Linked DNA regions of Cricetulus griseus. The protein of the gene in region 2 purifies or fractionates together with the protein of the main gene of each other region. This does not show direct contact. Links are inferred from orthologs where the notes say so. Each region holds a gene or a part of one and is shown on either strand. Other genes may lie near its edges.

Evidence for each region. Proteins that work in one complex are often made in the same cells at the same time.
Region 1: the proteins of Znhit2 (region 2) and Tssc4 purify together in Homo sapiens (affinity purification with mass spectrometry; 3 studies listed by BioGRID and IntAct, counting the BioPlex papers as one, with this or other methods). This does not show direct contact. The link is inferred for Cricetulus griseus from reciprocal best matches to the Homo sapiens genes ZNHIT2 and TSSC4.

The regions. Positions count from the first base shown.
Region 1 is NC_048596.1:58,313,024-58,323,472, forward strand, and holds Tssc4 (protein TSSC4), read right to left. Parts: upstream 5,637-10,449; 5' UTR 5,492-5,636; exon of another isoform or gene 5,363-5,491; intron 5,210-5,362; 5' UTR 5,085-5,209; intron 4,996-5,084; 5' UTR 4,986-4,995; coding exon 4,032-4,985; 3' UTR 3,863-4,031; downstream 1-3,862. Other genes in the region: Trpm5 (transient receptor potential cation channel subfamily M member 5), read left to right, coding at 326-507, 815-947, 1,730-1,802, 2,124-2,190, 2,499-2,587; CD81 antigen, read right to left, coding at 7,583-7,645, 7,726-7,812, 8,187-8,288, 8,603-8,707, 8,935-9,009, 9,917-10,014. UniProt on the Homo sapiens protein: Protein associated with the U5 snRNP, during its maturation and its post-splicing recycling and which is required for spliceosomal tri-snRNP complex assembly in the nucleus.
Region 2 is NC_048596.1:53,286,396-53,296,484, forward strand, and holds Znhit2 (zinc finger HIT domain-containing protein 2), read right to left. Parts: upstream 5,207-10,089; 5' UTR 4,971-5,206; coding exon 3,774-4,970; 3' UTR 3,730-3,773; downstream 1-3,729. Other genes in the region: delta(14)-sterol reductase TM7SF2, read left to right, coding at 1-10, 305-681, 2,015-2,134, 2,223-2,391, 2,597-2,677, 2,761-2,883, 3,036-3,196; Fau (40S ribosomal protein S30), read right to left, coding at 6,907-7,032, 7,194-7,249, 7,984-8,128, 8,264-8,338; Mrpl49 (39S ribosomal protein L49, mitochondrial), read left to right, coding at 8,859-8,936, 9,494-9,644. UniProt on the Homo sapiens protein: May act as a bridging factor mediating the interaction between the R2TP/Prefoldin-like (R2TP/PFDL) complex and U5 small nuclear ribonucleoprotein (U5 snRNP).

The DNA.
Region 1 (10,449 bases), about 5.0 Mb from region 2:
ATGCCCATGGGACAATATGATCTTGACAGTCCCTCAATTGTGGTTCTCTTCTCAGTTGACTCTTAGACTGTCAAGTTAATAGTTAAAGCTAACTATGTTAGCCTCCATCTCTGAATTGGGCTCCCAGGACAGGCCAGCTGCCCTCTGGATGCAATGGAGGATGGCATATATGGAGTGGGAGGTGAAGGGTTGAGATGAAGGGTAGGAAGGGGGATACAGGATGGGGTGGCATATGGGGTGGGAGGTGGTGCCAGGTTGAGGTAGGGTGCTTCTATGTGCAGGGAAAGCAGCTTATAAGGCAAGGGCTTGGCCATGTGTCCTGCAGTTACACATTCCAAGTGGTCCAGGGCAATGCTGACGTGTTCTGGAAGTTTCAGCGCTACCACCTCATTGTTGAATACCATGGGCGACCAGCCCTGGCCCCACCCTTCATCCTGCTCAGCCACCTGAGTCTGGTGCTCAAGAGGGTCTTCAGGAAGGAAGTCCAGCACAAGCGTCAACACCTGGGTGAGGCCACAGGCTGGATGCCACTGTTCCTCGGGGTCCTGCTTCCAGAGAAGACTCACAGAAGGGACTGGGTTTCTCATCTAGGCCCTGTCAAGGCTAACCAAAACCCCAGACCCATACTAGACAGCCACAGGACCATCCTGTCTCCTTGCAGCCCCAAATCCCTCCATGGGGTTTATTTTTGCCATCTGCCTTGTGCTCTGCATGGTGGCATCTTCCCTAGTCCCTTGCCACAGCCTGGGCCTGGGCTCTTCCCTAGGGGCCCACATAACTCTCCAAGGTTTGCTGCTGTCTCCTACCTTGCTAGAGAGAGACTTGCCTGACCCCTTGGACCAGAAGATCATTACCTGGGAAGCAGTTCAGAAGGAGAACTTCCTGAGTGCCATGGAGAAACGGAGGAGGGACAGCGAGGGGGAGGTGCTGAGGAAAACAGCACAGAGGTGGGGAAGCCCATGGGACCCCAGATGGCGGGGCATATGAATATGAGTCTCAGGCTAGCAGGTGCCATCATTTCTATCCATGGGCTGCTCAGAGATGTAGAAAGGGCCCTGTCTAGAGGCAGGTGGACTCAGATGCAGTGGGACTGAGTTGACCTTAGTCAGCTGGGTGTTATGAGGGGCAATAAGTCTGGGAGGGGCTCCCAAGTGCAAGCATGTGGAGGTGGGGAAACATCTAGCCTTTTCAGTAATGGGTGGGGTTTTCTGAACTGCCTTAAGGCTGGGTGAGACTCTTCAGTGCCAGTAATAGGACCTCTAAGCTAGGAAACAAGGCTGGGTCACAAGATCCAGCACTCCAGACTCTTGCTCTAGGGGGAGGACTGGGGGGGGGCATTGGGAGCATAAGCCATCTTTGGGAGCATAAGCATTAGGCATCTTTCTGCAATGGGACTCTCCCTTCATCCTCTCTCAAGTCTGAAGATCCACCCCCAGTTGATGCCGGGAGGTGGAGGGGCTGTTCCTGAACACTTGTGGGGATGACCTGCTGTTTCTTCTCTTGCTAGTGGTCTATTCCAAGCAGGGACAGGACCTCAGTCTCTGGGAGTGGGGGTGGTACAGAAGTGTTCTGTATCTGTAGACAGGCCCCAGATCAAGACTGGGAGGAGAGTAGGACAAGAAGAGGCAACAGAATTCTGAGACCCTGAGAAAGCATTTAGGGCAGACAGGCTCCCCCTTGTGGAATGCCATGGAGGAATCACATCTATGGCTGGCCCTACTTTCCACAGAGTGGATTTGATTGCCAAATACATCATGGGGCTGAGAGAGCAAGAAAAGAGGATCAAGTGTCTGGAATCACAGGCAAGCCAACAACCCACTCACTGTCTATTCTTCTTGAGGTGGGGCCATCCTTCTGCTTCTATGGGAACTACCACAGCCCTGTACTAGATTCCTGATGGGTGTGGGCAGGGGATGCCTGTCACTAGAGACACATTTTTCTTCTAGAACTGGTCCAACAAAACCTAGATTTACTAGCACATCCTGTCACCATTCCTTATCATGCACCATGGGGGAGCCTGGTCCACAGTGAGGAGTCCTGGGGCAGCATTAGACCTGGCAGGAGGGGAGTCACATGGGAGGGACTCTGTGCCAAAGTCCAGCATCTCCCTTGTCTCCTTCCAGGCCAACTATTGTATGCTCCTCCTCTCCTCCATGGCTGACACAGTGGCTCCAGGTGGCAACTACTCAAGTAAGTACTGTTCAGGCCATGGGAATGAGGTGGGCATGGGCTCCTTCCTTAGGCCACTGGATTAGACAAGAGCAAAGCTGTAGGCTGTGCATCAGTTCCTGCCTTCCCCACCTGTGCTGGAAGTCCTTGCTGTCCTTGGCAGGCCACCGTGCCTGAGGCATACAGGTGCCTAGGATCAGAGCCGTAATGTCCCAAGGCTCTGCCTACCACTGGTCCTGCTGGACAGAAGCCTTATCACTTTCCATGTCCTGTCCTGTCCCAGCTGGGGCTCCACAGCTGAGGGTCCTTTCTCCCTTCCTTGCTCCCAGGCTCTCAGAACTGTGGTCGCAGGAGTCAGCCAACATCTACTAGAGACAGGGAATACCCAGAGGCTGGCTTGCCACCCTCAGACACCTGACATGGAGGGGCCACCTGTCCTAGAGCCCCAGGCCTTGCCATCTTGGGCTTTTGCGACACATCAACCTTCCCCTACTCCCAGCGACCTCCAGAAATGGTCTTCTAGGGCGTTGCCACAGACCCCTTCTTGAACATCCCTTCCTGTGAAAATGAAACTGTTTCTTGGCACCTATCTGGGAGCTCCAGCGGTGTCTTTTCCAGTAGGGGAAGTTCTTTCAGTCCTTAGTGCTTTCATCGGCTTGGACTGGACACCAGGAACTAGTGAAGGACAAATCTGCCGAGGCAGAGCTACTCGGGTCTAGACCCTGTCTTACTGTTAGTTCCTAAGAAACTGACCTCTTAAACACTAGTGATTTCTTTCTGCCCTCAAGACAAACTCTTCATTATCTGACCAGCTTCTAGAGGACTGGTAATCATCGCCTCCCACCGCTCTGCCCCCACAGCTTATCTGTGTAACCACTGTGGCATTAACGCCAGATACTGTTCAAGGGTACCCTTTGTAGCAGGTTGCTACAAAGCCTGTAGACCACCTCAACTCAGCTACACTGGACCACAGGGATGGCTCAACATGCTTTTCAAACACCCAGGGAACATGGAGTTACCTGACCTATTGAATGGCATCTCTGTTGCTTCCACTGATCCTCAAATCATATGACCATTCAGGCTGATCCTTCCTTTTTCGAGGATACTCAAGCCCTGGAATAGGGACTACAGAGACTAGGGCAGACCTAGTACTTAGTGTACCAGGCTAGCTAACTTGGTTCAGGACCCTGGCCACGGCATGAAGTACTCACTCATGTGTCTTCCCTGCATCCTTCTCTTCCTCCTGGGCTAAGCTTCAGCTAAATGACCTAGCATCAGCCTATTAGCATCAGCAGTGTCCTACACAGAGGTCACAAATCCTGGAGACATACACCCAGGACACCAGCTCTATCTTTAGTTTGGGTGGACACCTGCCCAAACTCCTTCGCTGGCTCAAACTACCCTCTTCCTAAAACTGGTCTGCACAGGCCTAGTGTGGAGGCTGTGCTGGTTTCTGGGGGACAGATTATGTTCGTCCATTACCATCAGGGGTACAAGGCTGGACATGGTTATGAACCCAGTCCCTCTGGGTAGGTTCACTGGTAGCAAATGCAAGGGATCATGGCAAATCTTTACAGCAGTCCCCACTGGAGTGGGGAGAGCAAGATAAGCCAGGTGTAGGATGGAGTCCTGAAGTTAGTTGCCAAGGACTGTTTGGACACATCTTGAATAGGGAGCAGAAAAATCCACAAAATTTAAGAAATATCCCAAACCTTTATTTTTCACCCCAAGAAACGGGGGCATAAGGTCCCACAATTCCCACAGTCCTAGTCAGAGTTGCTTCCCAGACACCCCTTCTACAAATAGCCCACAGCTTCCCACCTGGACTGGGCAGGTGAGGAGGTGGAGAGATAGCACTGCAGTCAAACTGAGGGTCCCCTCTCAGACCCTGGCCCCTCCGGGTTACTGTCCCTGTTCCGGAAGTGTTCTCTGCTCCGCTTCTTGCTGCCATGGAAACCAACAGCCTCCATCCCTGTGGGATCTGATGAGGACCCAGGATGGTCAGCTCCTGAAGGTATCACTGCCTCTTGCAGTCCCTGGTGGCCACTCCACTCCTCAAGCTCAGGCCCTGCCAGATGGGCCAGCTCCACAGATGCCTCACTCACAGCATTTGACACATCCCCCTTCTTTAGGACCCTCTTCCTTTCAGCCCTAGTCTCACTGCCTCGAATTGGTTTGGTAAAGACCACTCTCCCCTCCCCACAGCTAGAGGGGTCCTGGTTGAAGGAAGGTACATAGTCTGTGGGGGATGCCAGGCTGCGAGAACCCAGAAAGGCCAGGGCAGCAGCACGATTGCTCTGCTCACTGACTTCAGTCGCATCTTCCAGGCTGTACTTGGTCCAACGCTCAGGATGTGACACATAATCGGGCACAGGAGGTACCCTGGTTGGGCCCGTACTCCCATGCACCCTGCTCAGGTTCCCTGCTGGAGTCTGACTTGGGGGAGCCACAGGTCGCTTGAAGTTGCCATTTTCAGTCACACTGGTTTGGGGCGCAGAGGGCGGTGCCTGCCGGACTGCACTCTCCAGACAATCAAAGATGCTGTGACTGCGCTGGGAGAAGGTGGAGCTCATGCCGCGGAGGTGGAACGGCTGAACTGCGGTGGTGGGGACGCCCGTGGGGGGCGAGGGAGGCTCATCAGGGCCGGAGTCTTCTTGGGCTTCCCCAGAAATCCTCTCCGGGGACAACACTTGCACCTCAGCACCACTAGGTAAGCTGAGGTCCGAGTCCGAGTCGCTGAGGGAGACGGTGTCAGAAGGCAGGGTGTCATCTTCGGTGGGTTCCTCGGCCTCCAAGCCAGTCTCCGCCTCCGCCATGGAACCCGACCTGTAGCGAAGCAGCCCAGGTTCTGCTGTGAGGGGTGTACTTGGGCAGCTCCCCCCCACCCCCGTTCTCCCAGGCTCCCCCACTTTCACCTCCACTATGTGCCAGGCGCCTCTGCTCGCAATCGGGCGCTGGCTGGTCACGCAGGCGGGCGGAGGCCTCGCGAAGCTGGGTGGCGAATAGTGTGTCCTCGCACGCACTGATGTGGAGCTGCAGTCTAGATAGGGTTAAGCAGAGAGTCAAACCATGAGATCAGAACAGTGCGGACATATAAAGGGTGCGCGCTAGGAGACGCTGGAGACAGAGGCTCTCGACCATCAGCTCGTCTCATCACCGGCTCTCACAGAGCGCAGCCTCTCCGGGTACACACCGCCACCGGAGGCACCACCCGGCTCCGGAGGGAGAGCTGGCAGGGGACTGGCCTGGTCGCACGGTCCTAAGGAGGCCAGCGCTCACCGCTCCACCGTCCCTTCACGCTACAACAGCCAGCTGCCTTTACCGTAGCGTCCCGCCGGTTTCTCGAGGTACGGGCCGTGGCCCCCGCCTACTCTCGCTCGGCTTTCTGGGAAACCGAGTCTCCGGCTGTCTGAATGCTGCAACTTTAGCGGCCAAGGAACTACAACTCCCAGAAGGCAATGGGCCAATGCGTAATGCCTGCCGGGAGGTGTAACCTTTACGTATACGTCATCCCGTAAGACTGGAGCGGACACGGAAATCTACCCGGAAATGACGAAAGAGGAAGAGGCGGAGCCAAGAGCCTCGATTCCCATTGTACATAGGGCCAACTGCTAATCGCAAAGGGTTGAGGCCTCCAGCGCCGCCTGTCGGAAGCCGTCTGAGCAGGGTTCGTCACTGGAAGGAAGTGCGTCACCACGCAGTGCGGGCGTCAACAAGTTTCCTGGTCAGAAGTGGTGCTGATCTGATCTTGTACTCGGTTGGCTTCCTAAAGGGGGCGGGGACTTAAGTCCTAGTTGGCTCTTGGCATCTAGAGACGTGGTGGGCTCTGGATGTTGGATAAGTTGTTTGGGGCTGCAGAGATTCGAGGCCTCTCCTCTAGGCTCTGCCTAGCCGTGCTTGGACACCGACCCCACTATTTAAGGCCACACACAACTCCCCTCTAGGCCCGGGGCTGTCCTCTTTCATCTCTGGGAACCAGAGTCTGAGAATCCACTGGGCTGCTGCACGCTCACTTCCTTCCCTATGTTCTTGAAGCCCTGATAGCCATGCTGCAGTTTTCTCAACAGCCTTGGCCAGGGGCCCACAACATAAGAGTATAAAGTCCTTCAGACCAGCAGCCAACCCAAGCAGGGAACAGGTTGCAAGGGGCGGGAGGGGGGCGGCGGACGGACGATAGTAGAGATTAGGACGCCCTAGGACAAACTTGGGGTTCACTGACAAATCAGCTTACAGGGAGGTTGCTAGGAGCTGAGACCTAAATCTTAGCCACGCTTTCTCTCCTCTAGAGGCCAATTAAATATGCCAGTAGCCTGGGGGAGGGGTGCAGACAGGAGTCAAAGGGAAAGGCAGTAGTGGTGATAGTTGCTGGTGTCCCAAGAGGTTGCTTAGCCTAATCCTCAGTTCATAGGGCTGAGCTGAGTGGGCTGCCATCTTGACTATTATCCCTTGAGACAGGCCAGAGCCACCCAGCTCTTTAGAACATTTCTAAGCACCTAGATACTTGGGATGGGGCAGTAGTCTAACTTTTACTGTATTGTCTTTCAAAAGTGGGATGAAGTGGGAGTTTTTTGTAGCTTATCCCCAGCATTCTGTGTCGAATTTTCCTGCTGCGTGACCTCTCCTACCCGTCTCAGTGTGACTTGGCATGTCCAACAGATGAGTGGAAATGAGGTCAAGGCTGGAATAAGGTCAGCCTGAACTCCCAGTACAGGGAGGTAGAAACGAGGGAGTACTCAGATGGAGTGCTCCCAGGGTCCCTATCCTTCCCACCCATTTTATTCCACAGCCTCTCTTGGACCTGCTCACCCTGTGCCTGGCAAAGTCCAGAGCGGTACCCGTCTCTGACACCACTGGAACAGGAAGAGGTCTGACAGTCCGGTTAGCATGCCTGATTTTCTCCTCCTTTATTAAATGACTGTTTCAGATGTAATTACAGTTGAAGGTGACACGTTAGAAAGAACAGGTGCATTGAAGGCATAAGAGTGCTTACAAACCCAGCTCTTGAAATGGGGACAGGAAAGGGACAAGGATTAAAAAGATGTGATCGATGTGACCCACAGTGGGCAGGGTGAGTGACCATGGCTCTCTAGCTCAGCTACATAGCCTCTGGGCAAGCAGCTGTGGAGGAGGTTTGGCTCAGCAGGCAGGGGTTCCAGAAGTACAGGGCCCTGCAAGCCAGGGCCAGCTCCACCCCTATATCCCCACACTCACCACTGCCACCTATGTGTGATGTCAGCCCCCAAAAGATACCGGGCAAGTTCAAAACAACAACAACAAAAAAACCCTCAAAGTAAAAAGGCTAAGTGTAGCAGAGTAATACAGAAATATATACACAGGCCATGGCCCCCGAGGTGGCCTCTGGTCACTCAGGGGCATGGCACTGCAGGGTCCCTGTAGTACAAAGTGCAGGACCTCAGTACACGGAGCTGTTCCGGATGCCACAGCACAGCACCATGCTCAGAATCATCTCGAAGATCTGCGGGAGGGAGGGGCATTGTCAGCACCTAGGACCTTGGGAGGGGTGGTACCCACCCACCAAAGAGGCCCTGTGCTTACCATGATGACAGCTACCACGATGGCCGCAATACCAATGAGGTACAGCTTCCCAGAAAAGAGCTCATCGATTTTCTGATGGCAATCCTCCTGCAGGGATGGCCAGAGGGTGGTAACAGTCAGTGGCTAAGTCACAGCCACTACCCTACTCAGTGGTGGGGCTTGTCCTGCAGTTTATCTTCCATCCAAAAAATAAACTTAAAACACATGGACCTGCTCTCTTTCTTTATCACAGGATAGTGTTTCTGACCTCACTAGTACCCTAGGGCTTCCAGTATGTGTAAGGGACCACTGGACAGCAGTTTCCCAGGATATTGCAGAGGCTAACGCAGGCTGTCAGGACCCAGCACCCCACTACCTGAGATGTTCTGTGAGCCTTTCTGAGGTCCTGCTGATCTTCCTGGTGGGCCATGTTTACTCTACCTACCACCCAGGATATGATGTCCACCCCCACTCCATGTCACCTTCATCAAGGAGTTGAATATGTTGGTGCCTGAGGGACACAGGCTGTTCTTCAGCACAGAGGTGGTCAGTGCGGTCAGTGCGTTGGAGCCACAGCAGTTGAGCTGCAGAGACCAAAAGCATCACTGTCACCTTAGGAGCCTCAGGAGACAAGGGCAAGGTCAGCACACCATCACCCCCATATACCTGGGAGCTGGCCTTCTACCCTGTTTGTCACACTGCTCAAGAGCCCTGTTCCTCCAAACCCCTGGGCAAATGAGGCCCATTAGGTTCCTGCCTGGGGATCTACAAATCACACAGACCTTTAGCCAGGACCTGTCATGTTGCTGATGTCTGGAAATAGGCAGGACTCATCCCCCAAAGATCACACACACTAGGACTCCCACAACCTGCCCTCCCTGCTCCAGCCTAGCTGTACCGTCTCATGGAAGGTCTTCACCACAGCCTTGGCATTATTGGCATCGTCATCCACCACAGCCTGTTGAAGGGCTTGATCATAGAACTGCTTCACATCCTTGGCGATCTGGGGGAGAATCATAGTCACTTGCAGCATAGGGACTACCATCAAGAGCACTCAGCTTCCCCTGCTGTGCTCAACCTGACACCATCTCTTCTGTTCAGCTCCCAAGACCCTTCTACCAGCAGGCACCAGAAACCCAAAAGGCACCCTGTAACCCATGGGCTCAGAGCGGTTCACTCCTGTTGCCCAGGCAAGGGGCCTATCTCCCTCCCCAGTGAACCTAGGCTCACCTGGTCTTTGTTTACGAAGCCCCAGATGCCAGCAGCCACCTCACAGGCAAACAGGATCACAAGGCAGGTGAAGAACTAGAAGAAAGACGAGAACAGAGCCTTGACCAGCAAGCCCAAGCCCAGCCCTCTATAGGTGCCCACATGACCAACAACTATGTGCCAAGGGAGTTGACCACATCCATCAACCATGTCCTGATTAAGAATGAGCCACACAGAACCATGAAAGATGGGGTCTGATGCAGCTTGGCACCGAGATGTTCAAGTTCTTTGTAGGGAGACACTGTAGCGCGCCCCCCCCCCCCCCAGCCCCGACAGGTGTGCCGGGACACGCCCGTGAGGGCGTGGTCAGGGGAGGTCTAAGGTGATGTGGGAAGAATTCTTAAGGGACTGCGCACACGTGGATAGCCCCTGCTCTCTGGCCAGGCTGCCTTGCTGCCCCTGGCATGCTCTGGCTTGTGTGGGGGCTGGTGTTTATCTGAATAAAGAAATCTTAGCCTTACGGACTACAGATCATCCTTGAGCGCATGCAGCATGCAATAATCTATTGTTCTCAGGGCCCTACCCTGCTCCCTGCTTTGCAGGATGCTGCTTGCACAGGAGATGCAGTAGACAAATCCAAGTGATCACAGTCTCCAGGGAGGCACATGCAGCAATATGCCCCCAACCCTGACCTTAGTTTCCTCACCCCCTTTATCCTCCATCCATGGGAAGTTTAAAATATGAAGTGTGCTTCAGTTTTCCACACTGGTTGGCCAGGCTCTAGAAGACATATCTGAGACTCTGCTCCATCAGTAGCCACTGTGGCCAGGAACACTAAGGCTGGCTTTAGGGGTGAGGCACCCCACTGGTTTATGCATTTCTAAAGAGAAACTCCCTCTGTCAACATGAGTCTTCAGAGTCAGACTTAATGGAAATCAAGCAAACAGAAAAAGCAAAACCTTGGGGAAGACTACTCCCCTGCCCTGAAACCCTTCCTACTTACCGTCCCCAGCAGGCACTGGGACTCTTGGATGGCCCCATAGCACCCCAGGAAGCCCACAAACATCATCACAGCTCCCACAGCAATGAGAATGTAGATGCCTGGGGAGAGGAAGAATTCAGTGAGCAAGCTGCATGCCTCACTGCCCCAGACAGGAGTGTCTGGAGCACTCACACCCACAACAGGCAGAGTTTGGCAGCGTGAACTCTTTGTGCCTCAGTGTCCTGTTGGAGGAGCTGCCACTGCAACCAGAGGACAAAAACAGCAATTCCATGCCCAGAGAACACAGGTGATCTGCACTTCACAGATATGCTCTGCCCTATAGCCAGTCCCCCACTACCTGCACCTGAGAATAGGAACCCTCAGCACTCACTGTAGAGGGCTAAGATGGACTACCCATCTCAGTGCATGAAATGGGGAAGCAGCCTGGGTATCGGCTATTGGCTTAGGGTTGATGCCCAGGACTCCCAGTGCTGGGTGAGTGTGAAGGCAAGGACAGGCTATGCCAGTAGCCAACTCCAGACACCTCATCTCAG
Region 2 (10,089 bases):
CCTATTAATGGTGCCTGGGTCCTCCCTCCTGGTTACACGGGTTGGGGTGGGATCTCGGGACTAGCTCTGTTGACACGACACGTTTCCCTATGGGAATCTCTCTGTGCTGCTACTCTGTTCTAGGGGGTGTGTGTGTGTGTGTGTGTGTGTGTGTTGTGTGTGTGTTGTGTGTGTGTGTGTGTGTGTTTGTGTGTGTGGATGTGTGTGTGTTAGTTGTGTGTGTGTGTGTGTGTGTGTGTGTGTGTGTGTGTGTGTGTTAGTTGTGGATGTATTCAATTCTAAAACTCACTCTGCTGTGGTTCAGGCTTCCAGGCTCTGGTCCTAACAGCCCTGTTGGTGGGGCTAGGGGTGTCAGCTGGGCTGCCCCTGGGGGCACTCCCTGAAATGCTCCTGCCCTTGGCCTTTGCGACCACTCTCACCAGCTTCATCTTCAGCCTCCTTCTCTATATGAAGGCTTTGGCAGCTCCTGTCTCAGCCCTGGCACCTGGAGGAAACTCAGGTGAGAAGGGTCCCAATGAGGTAGGGGTGAGGCATATGGGATGCCTAACTGTGCCTTCACTCTCTGTTATTCCCCCAGGAAATTGCATTTATGATTTCTTTCTGGGACGGGAGCTAAACCCTCGCCTTGGTTCCTTTGACTTCAAATATTTCTGTGAGCTGAGGCCTGGCCTCATCGGCTGGGTATGCTGGGCATGCTGGGTTTAACTATGTTGGTCTTGGGCCAGGAGAAGGACAGGGTGGGCTAGCATGGCTGGGTGGACAGCAATCATCATTCATTTGCCAATATGTTGTTTTGGCATGAAGTCATGGTTTTGCTTTAGTATTAAGATCAAGAGGGGTCTTAATAACAAATCTTTAAAAAAAAAAAAAAAGGTAGAGAGCATTTGGCTCACACACACACACACACACACACACACACACACACACACACACACACCCTCAATTCCAACCCTAGCACCACAAAACTAAATATATATGGCATACATAGCAATAAAGTGAAGATTTGGATGCAGTGCTCAAGTACAAAACTGACTTCAAAGACAATGACCAAGCTGCTTGAAGGGCAAGGCAGCTCTGTGCCTCCAGTGGATTGTTTGTCATTGGTGGCCCTAACAACACAGCAGCTGTTCTTGGGCTAAGATCACACAGACATGGACGGTGGTGAAGAGTTCCAAAGAGATTCAGGCAAGGCCCTGCTTTCATCTTGGAGATCTTACCCAGAGGCAGGAGTGCCAAGTAACCTCTATGAATCTGAGTTTGGGTTTGGTTTGGATTTGAAACAGGTCTCACTAGGATAGCCCTGGCTATCAATGTCTCCTCCACTTTCTTCACCTACTTAAGTAACTAGGATTAGTTATTGTAACCCCACCTGGCCTGGTCCCTCCAAGGATCTGGAGATTGGCCTGCCTACACACATACCAGACTCTAAGGTTATTTTCTCACTGAAGAAACAGGATGGGATGAAGTTTTCTTCTACAATTACTGTGAGGGCTGGGTGTGGTGGCACACTCCTTCAATTCCAGCACTTAGGAGGCAGAGGCAGGTAGATTTTTATGACTTTAGGTTAGCCTGGTTGTACACATTTTCAGTCCAATCAAGGCTACTTAGTGAGACTTTTTTTTTTTTTTAATTAGAGGTACCCTTAATGAAAGTACTATGTCAGTATTACTGAAGAAGCTACCTAGTCCACTGGAACTACTAAAACAAGGGTACAAAGTACAGGTTCACGACAAGCTAATCCTCAGCTCTGCAAGCATTATATTTTTCTTTAAACAGCAAGACAGGGCTCTTATCCCCATTTTCCACATGGCAGTGGGAAAGTGAGCTTCAGCAAGGATATATACTCTGCCCAAGTGGCAAAGCTCAGATTCAAAAGCAGGAGTTTTAAGTATAGGCAGCTTCGACCTAGATTCATTCAACATGTGAACTGACAGTTGAGGGAGGGGAGAGGTTGACACTTTTCCACTCTGATGCTCCCACTCAGAGACAATGGCCCTGTCCCCACTTCCCTCAGGTTTTTATTAACCTGGCCCTGCTGATACAGGAGGCAGAGCTACGGGGGAGTCCTTCACTGGCCATGTGGCTGGTCAATGCCTTCCAGTTGCTGTATGTGGGTGATGCCCTCTGGTATGAGGTGAGGCTGGATTGGAAGGGGAGGTGAGAAAGGGATCCTGAAGATGTCATCTGGACTAAGCCAGTGTGTCTGGGTCCTGTCCCTGCAGGAGTCTGTCCTCACCACCATGGACATAATACATGATGGATTTGGTTTCATGCTGGCCTTTGGAGACCTAGCCTGGGTACCCTTCACCTACAGCTTGCAGGCCCAGTTCCTGCTATACCATCCACAGCCTCTGGGGTTGCCCATGGCCTTGCTCATCTGCCTTATTAAGGGTCAGTAGGAGGGCCTTCATTTCCCCTCCCTCTTTCATACTTCATTCACTGCCCATTAGGTAGATCCCAGGCTCTGATGCTCCTCTAAAGCTGGGAGCTGGCCCCCTGGGTGTCATAACAGAGCCTGGGATTTGGACAGGCTTGTTGTCAGGGCGAGGAAGAAGGCTTGGACTTCATCTCACTACCTGATCATACTTTCTCTCAGTTATTGGTTACTACATCTTCCGTGGTGCTAACTCCCAGAAAAACACATTCCGGAAGAATCCTTCTGACCCCAGTGTGGCTGGTGAGCTGGGTCTCCTGGAGACTATGGGTGAGATGAAGGGTCAGGCTTTGAGGCTCCCTGGTTCATTAGCTACCTTTCTCCAGGTCTTGAAACCATCCCTACTGCCACAGGACGGCAGCTGCTGGTATCTGGGTGGTGGGGTATGGTTCGTCACCCCAACTACTTGGGAGACCTCATCATGGCTCTGGCCTGGTCCTTGCCCTGTGGTGAGTAGGTCTGGGAAGGGAGGCTCAGTCTGGTGTGACTGGAGATGGACCCCGTGTATCACTGATGAACCCTGTCACCCTGTGTGTCATTAGCTGAGAAAGCCATTATACACCGGGTGCTGGTGTCTCATCATGCAACCCCTTCCCTACAGGGGTGTCTCACCTGCTGCCCTACTTCTACCTCCTTTACTTCACTGCATTGCTGGTACACCGGGAGGCCCGAGATGAGCAGCAGTGCCTTCGCAAGTATGGCCGTGCCTGGCAGGAATACTGCAAACGTGTGCCTTATCGAATCATACCCTATGTCTACTGAGGCAGAGCCATCTAACAAGCTCAGGCCTGAACACATGTGGGGTGAAGGGCCTGCACCCCATTCTACTTGGCAGGGATGACCAGCCTCAGAGTCTGACGCAAGAAGAGGGAACCACTGCTCCCATATGAAAATACTTTTCCCTGCTGGATAAATGTTTTCAATCTTGTTTTTCTTCTATTCTGGGGTCAGTGATTTGGGGGAGAGAGGTAGAGAACTAGCTGACTAGGGAAGCTGTACTAGGGAAGTGGTTTGTGTGTCCAGGGTAGCTTCGTGGAACAACTGGTTTCTCTCAGAAATGGGCACTTCAGGCCTGGGGGATGTAGTTGTTATATAGAATGCTTGCTTAGCATTCAAGAAGCCTTTGACCTTCAGCACTGCATAAATTAGCAAGGTGACTTAACACTTGTAATCCCAGCACTGTCAAGGTAGAGGCAGGCTCGGCTCAGAAGTTCAAGGTCATCAGCTACACAGTGACTTCAAGGAAAGTCTAGGATAGGGTACTGTCTTTGAAGAAAATAAAGGTACTGCCAACATTTGGACAGACCAGTGACAGCTTTATTAATACCACACACCCAGCTCAGCCAGGGAGCTCCTCAATGAGAGTCCTTGGAGCAGGTGGTACCGGGCCTCCCCAAAGCCGCTCCAGCTCCCCAGTAAGGGTTGCCATCTCCTCGGCTGTGACAGCATGGGCTCGGTGGACCCTGGCACAGTCTAGAGCCAGTGGTGTGAGAGCAACCTCATTTTCGTTGGTCCAGGCTAGGAGGAACTGGCACTTCTTCCGAGCCCGGTAAAGGCGATTTCGTTCTTCGCTAACCACAGCCTGTTTCCGGGCTCGGCCCAGGGTTTGGGCCAGGTGCCCCAGTGCTGTCAGCGTGTAGCCTTTCTGGTTGATAGGACCCTCGCCCAGCAGAATACGAGCAACCTCTTGCATAGCACCCCGCGTACCCAAGGGCCCAGGTGGGTGTTCACCCGCTTCCAGCACGTGGGCTGCGGCCTGCAGGGCTTCCTCCGTAGAGTCAAAGACTTGCTGGGCGCCCAGGGCTCCAGAAACATCGAGCAGTGTGGCACAGAAATCAGAGAGTAGAGCGTCGTCGTCCCCTCCATGATACAGGGCGAGAGTGTGAGCGTAGGCGAACAGCACATTGGGCAGCTGGAATCGCACGAGTGGCGAGGGCGGGCAGCGGCTCAGGCTGGCCAGCGCTGGGATACGGGAGGGCACTGCGGGCGGCACGGCGGCATTTGAGTCTTCAGCAAGAGGCACCGCGGCGGCATCATCCACAGATTCGGGCGCGGTGCTCTCTGGGGCGGTCTCCGGCTCCGAAAGATCCCTGCCCGGGGCACGATCCAACTCCTCCATAAATCGCGGGCCACCCCCGCGGCCCCACCACCAGGGTCTCCACGGGGGCAGAAGGCGTCCAGCATCGCCACGGCTCAGCAGCCGCTCGAACGCCGCCTTCTCAGCCGGTGACAAGCTTTCCCAGAGTCCAGAAAGGCCGTTCGGCCGCGGGCCGGGCCTGAGGCCTATTTCCTCGGGCTCATCCTCGGTCTCCCGTTGTTCGCGTAGCCGGCGTAGTGCTCCCGCCAGACGGCTGGGAGAGGCACTCCGGCCGCGGAGCTCTCGCAGCACCTGGTCGCGGTAGAAGTCTTCGGCGCAGGAGCCATGCGCCCGGTAGCAGCGCAGCGAGCAGTAGGGCGCGTTGCAGCGCGGGCAGGTGTAGCGCGCCGGCAAAGCTTCCCCGCCTGGGCAGAAGCCGCAGAGCCCTACGGGCTCCATGGCAACTGGCGCCGCGTGTCGGGCACCACACAGCAGACGTAGCTCCGCCACTTCCGGTGCTTCTTCGGTTATTTCCGCCTTTGTGCGTGGGGCGACGTACCTTCTCGGTAACTTCCGTCTCTAGAGTAGCCTTTTGAGCATGCGCAGAACACGCCCAAGGTCTAACCAACACGGTGGCTCTCGAGAGTTAGAAGATTAATGTCGCTGATCCCAGCTTGTTCCCTGTGGTTTTACCAAATTGTGCAAAAATAAACTACCTTTTAAGCAAAACCAACCAACAAAAAAAATCCAGAATCTTAGGGGTGTAGCGACACACGCCTTTAATTTAATCCCCGCACCAGGTCCCCAGAGGCAGGGCGATTTCTGAGTTTCAGGTCTACCCAGTGAGTTCCAGAATAGTCAGAGCTACAGTAAGACCCTGTCTTGAAAATACCCCCAAAATAATAAAAACCCTACAAGAACCAAATCATAAACCAGGCATGACAAAGAATCTGAAGAGCAGGTTCCAGGACAGCCTCCGAAGCCACAGAGAAGCCCCGAAGATACTTAACATATCAATATAACAAACTGGGGCAGCCCAACCTCCAAGTTGGATTGAAATTCAATTCCTAGTATTTGTTTTGTGCCACCCATCCCCACCCAACCCCTGACTGCCACCAGAGGTTTGTGTAGCCTTGGCTTTCCTAGAACTAGCGCTGTAAACCAGGCTAGGCTAGCCTCTTCCTCTCAGAACTGGGATTAATGGTATGTGCCACTATGCATGGATCGCAAACTACATAGTTTCATACTTTTCCTCTACAAAGAACCTGAGTTGGGAATTTGACCCTTAAGCACTGCTCAGGCCAAGTGTGGTAGTCTACACAGCATGTGGTAGTCTAGTAACATTTGGGAGGCTGGGAAAGGAATATTAAGAGTCCAAAACTAGCCTGGGCTTAATAAAAACCATTTGCCTCCAAATCCCTGGTACACTCCTGAATGCTGTCCTAACAAGAATGTGGGAATACCCACACCCACTATAGTAAAAAGCTAATGGCTAAACAATGAGTCTGAGACAGTCACTATTCAGAGTCTACAATGGGTTAGACACTGGTTGCAGCGCATTTTACAGTTTGACCAGTATCTCTCACAAAGCTTAAATGGAATGGAGTGTCCAACTATTCTTTGGCCTTACTCCTTGGTGCATTCCAAGATGCAATGGGATCTGGGTGTAGTGGAAGCCTGGTGCTAAGGGTGGAACCATTTAATCAGCTTCTCAGTCACAGTTGTGATCAAGTTCAGCCAGACAAGATCAGGATGCCAGTGCAATCAGACAATTCCAATGCCGAGGGACCCGATGCTCCTTGTGTTTTGAACTTTTTTTTTTTAAGATTTTATTTATTATGTATAAAACATTCTGCTTCCATGTATATCTGCACACCAAAAGAGGGCACCAAATCTCATAAGGTTTGGTTGTGAGCCACCATGTGGTTGCTGGGAATTGAACTCATGACCTCTGGAAGAGCAGTCAGTGCTCTTAACCTCTGAGCCATCTCTCCAGCCCGTGTTTTGAACTTTTATTGATAGTACAGCTGGTCCCAAATTCAGTAAAAACCGATTCACCTTCTAACCAAGGCCTCCCCTCCCTTTAATCATTGCCTCTCCAAAACAGCCTAACACTGAACCTGTTTGGTTGGTTGAAATAGGGTCTCTATGTAGACCAGGGTGGCCTTGAACTCAGATCACCTGCTACATCTACTCAGGCCTCCCAAGTGCTAGGCCTAAAAGGTGTGCACCACTTCTGCCCGCTGTGGTGAGATTCTCATTTATCACTCCCAATGGCCAAGAGACACTTTACTAGCCTAAAAGTTCTATTTCTTCTTAAGGCCTCACAAATGATGAAAGCAGTAACACATCTGGGCAAAGTGGCTTTATTAGAGTGCAAGAATCACAGAAGGACTTAGGAATTAGCATTAGGGCCCTTCTTCTTGCCAAAGGTTGGCACCACGTTAACAAAGCGACGGTTATACTGCATCCGCCGCTTGGCCCGACCTGTCTTCTTCTTTTTTTTCTCTTGTTTGGCCACCTGGGAAAGGGAAGGACTGACTGGTAAGACCCTGGTTCACCTCTCCCATGCCTGGCATCCTTCCCACCAATTCCTCTCCAGGAAAGAGAATACAAACAGGAAAACCAAAGGTCTTTGATTTTGCTGCAATAGTGCAAATAACAATTCTGGCACTCACTCACCTTGGGAGTTTGACCTCTCACTTTTCCAGCACGAGCTAGGGAACCATGAACTTTACCTGTGTGGGGAAGGAAGAAAGGCAGATCAGAAGCAACGCCCTAGTTGGGCGTTGGTGGCACACACCTTTAATCCCAGCACTAGGGAGACAGAAGCAGGTGGATCTGTGAGTTCGAGACCAGGCTGATCTACAAGAGCTAGTTCCAGGACAGCCTCCAAAAGCTAGAGGAAACCCTGGGGGACGGGGGAACGGGGGGACGGGGGGGGGGGGGGGGGGGACGGGACAAAGACAAGTTTGGGTCCAACAAGGAATGAAACCAAGTTGCACAGATTAGAGATGGAGGCCACAGAATAGCTATCCCAGGTTGGTTTCCACCACAATGTCACTGTGGCCAGTCTGTTCAGTGCTGAGGGTTGATGTATATACTACTAAGGCAAGAACTATCCTTAGCTAACATTTTACATACAAAACAAAGACAGGAAGCCAGATTTTGATTGTTATTGCTCTTTTGTCTCCTGACAGCGTTTCTCTGTGTAGCCCTGGCTGTCCTGGAAGTTGCTTTGTACACCAGGCTAGCCTTAAAGAGACCTGCCTGCCTGTCTTCCATGTTGCTAGGATTAAAGGTATACACTGCCATTACACGACTTTGGATCTTGATTTTAGTGGGGACCCCGAGAAGCAGTCTGGTTAAACTCAGTACCACTCTAGAAGGCACAGGTGTATTGCCACAGAAATGAGCTGACACATTCTATAACTACACACATTCCATTAGTTCACAGTAAAAAAGCAGTCACCTCCCAACATGCGACCAGCTACTTCCAGAGTAGTCAGGGCCTCTACGCCACACTGGCCTAGGGTGGCCTCATCCTCCAGCGGCGAGCCAGCCAAAAGCACGACTTGATCTTCCGGGGAAATGCCTTCCAGTGAGGCCACATGAGCCTACAGACAAAAAATTAAAAGCCCAATAATTTGTAAGGAAAATTTTACCTGCGGGTCTGGGGATAAAGGAGCACACACTGGGGAGAAAGGAGTTTTACCTGCGGGTCTGGGGATAAAAGAACATTATACACTTACTTTGATCTGAGCGACCGTCTCTTGGCCGGTCACCTCGAGTGTGTGTAGTCCCTGGGCGCGCACAAAGAGCTGCATGTTGGCGACTGAAAAAAAGACAGGCCTTTGAGAGAAGGAAGAAGCGTCCCAGAAGAAAGGAGATCAGGGGATGGGTAGGGGACGGGAGATTGCGCTCCTCACATGCGGAAGGCCGAGCTCGCCAGGGACCTGGATGAGGCTGGGAGACCAGGCCGCACAACAGCCCTGTCCCTTGACTTCCCGCACCCTCTCAGCCCGCAGTCGGCCTGCTACCGAGCGCTACAAGTTTAGCCGTCCCCCAGTCTCACCTAAACCGCGGACGCCGAAGCTGCTACCGCGAAGATGGAGTCAAGAAAGAGGAAGAAGCGAGGGCGCGCACGTCCTCACCGCATGCCGCGTGTCACGTCACTGCTGCGCGACAGCGTAGATTGCTAGTATTTGTACCGCCCACCGCCGTCCTAGTCTTTTCCCCTTACGCTTTACGCAGGCGTTCTTTCCCTGTGGGCGGGGCCCGCAGGAGGGGGGGCGGGGCCGAACCGGTTGCGCGCGCAAATGGCAATCACAGTTGGGTCAATCCAAGATGGCGGTCGCGGCGTTGCGAGCAGCTGTGCGGGACGCGGGGCGCTGCGTCCGATGGAGCTACGGGCCGCGGCAGCTGGTGAGAGTTCGGAGCACAGGGCAAAAGGCTGTGTGTGAGCCTCACTGTCGCTCCGCGTTCTCTCCCGAGGCCTTGGTTTTCCTGTATACTCGGGTTGACACTTGAGGGTAGATGCAGGCTGGAGAGGGCAGGGTGGCAGAGCCTAGGCAATCTGGGTTTTGGAATGTGACTACCGCGTAGCTCGAGTTGGTTAGGACCGACCGAGAGCAGCTGCACGTTCCCACTTGGTGCCTGATCGGTTTAAGCATCATATTCGCAGCTAAAGAGTTTCAACACCAGGTTCAGAAAAAATTACTGAAGAATACTATGTTGATTCGTCTTATGATTAATTGGATTTTGGGGAATATGCACGTTTGTCATTTGAATCCTGGAGAAATCCTGGGGATTCAGACTGAGTTGTTTTTCCAGCCAGTTCCCCCCACCCCCCATACTTTTGCACACTGGAAAAAAGTCTGGTTCTTTCCCAGCTCAGGTCTATTCTTTCTGCATGATTCTTTACCTATTAAAGCCCTTCCGTGTTGTGTGAACTAATGGAAAAATGGTTTGTTTTGCCTTAGAGCCAAACCCAGGGGTCTCATGAAAACCCCAGCTTTCTGGAGTCTGAGGATGAATACCAATTTGTGGAGCGCCTGTTTCCCCCTACCAAAATCCCACAGCCACCAAAGCATGAACATTATCCCACTCCCAGTGGCTGGCAGCCTCCCAGAGGTGAGCTGAGTGATGGGGCTAGTTTAAAGGCTGTAGAGAGTAGGCCCTTTGCCCTAGCTGAGGCTTTGGACTTTGCATTGGATTTAGGAGTGCTGTTGAGATATAGAATTAGTATTGTCTGATCCCCAGGGAAGGGCCTAAGAGTAGAACCCTGTTTTACTGGGATGAAGTCTTCCCTTGTGGTGAGAAAGCATAGAGAAATAAGACCCGTGTGTTTGGATTTCTTTTCTCCCAGGCCAACTTACTATGTATAATAGAGAATGCAGCTTAGTAGAAAGGCAGTCCTGGTTTGTATTTGGCTCTGCCCTAGGTGTGACTTTATTAGTCATTTAGCTTCTTCTAATTTCAAGTTCAGCAAAATGAGTACAATTTGCTCAGCATATAAAACCTTTAATACAGAGTACAGTGTGTGATTATGACTAGGTTTGGGCCAGCTGGAGCTAGT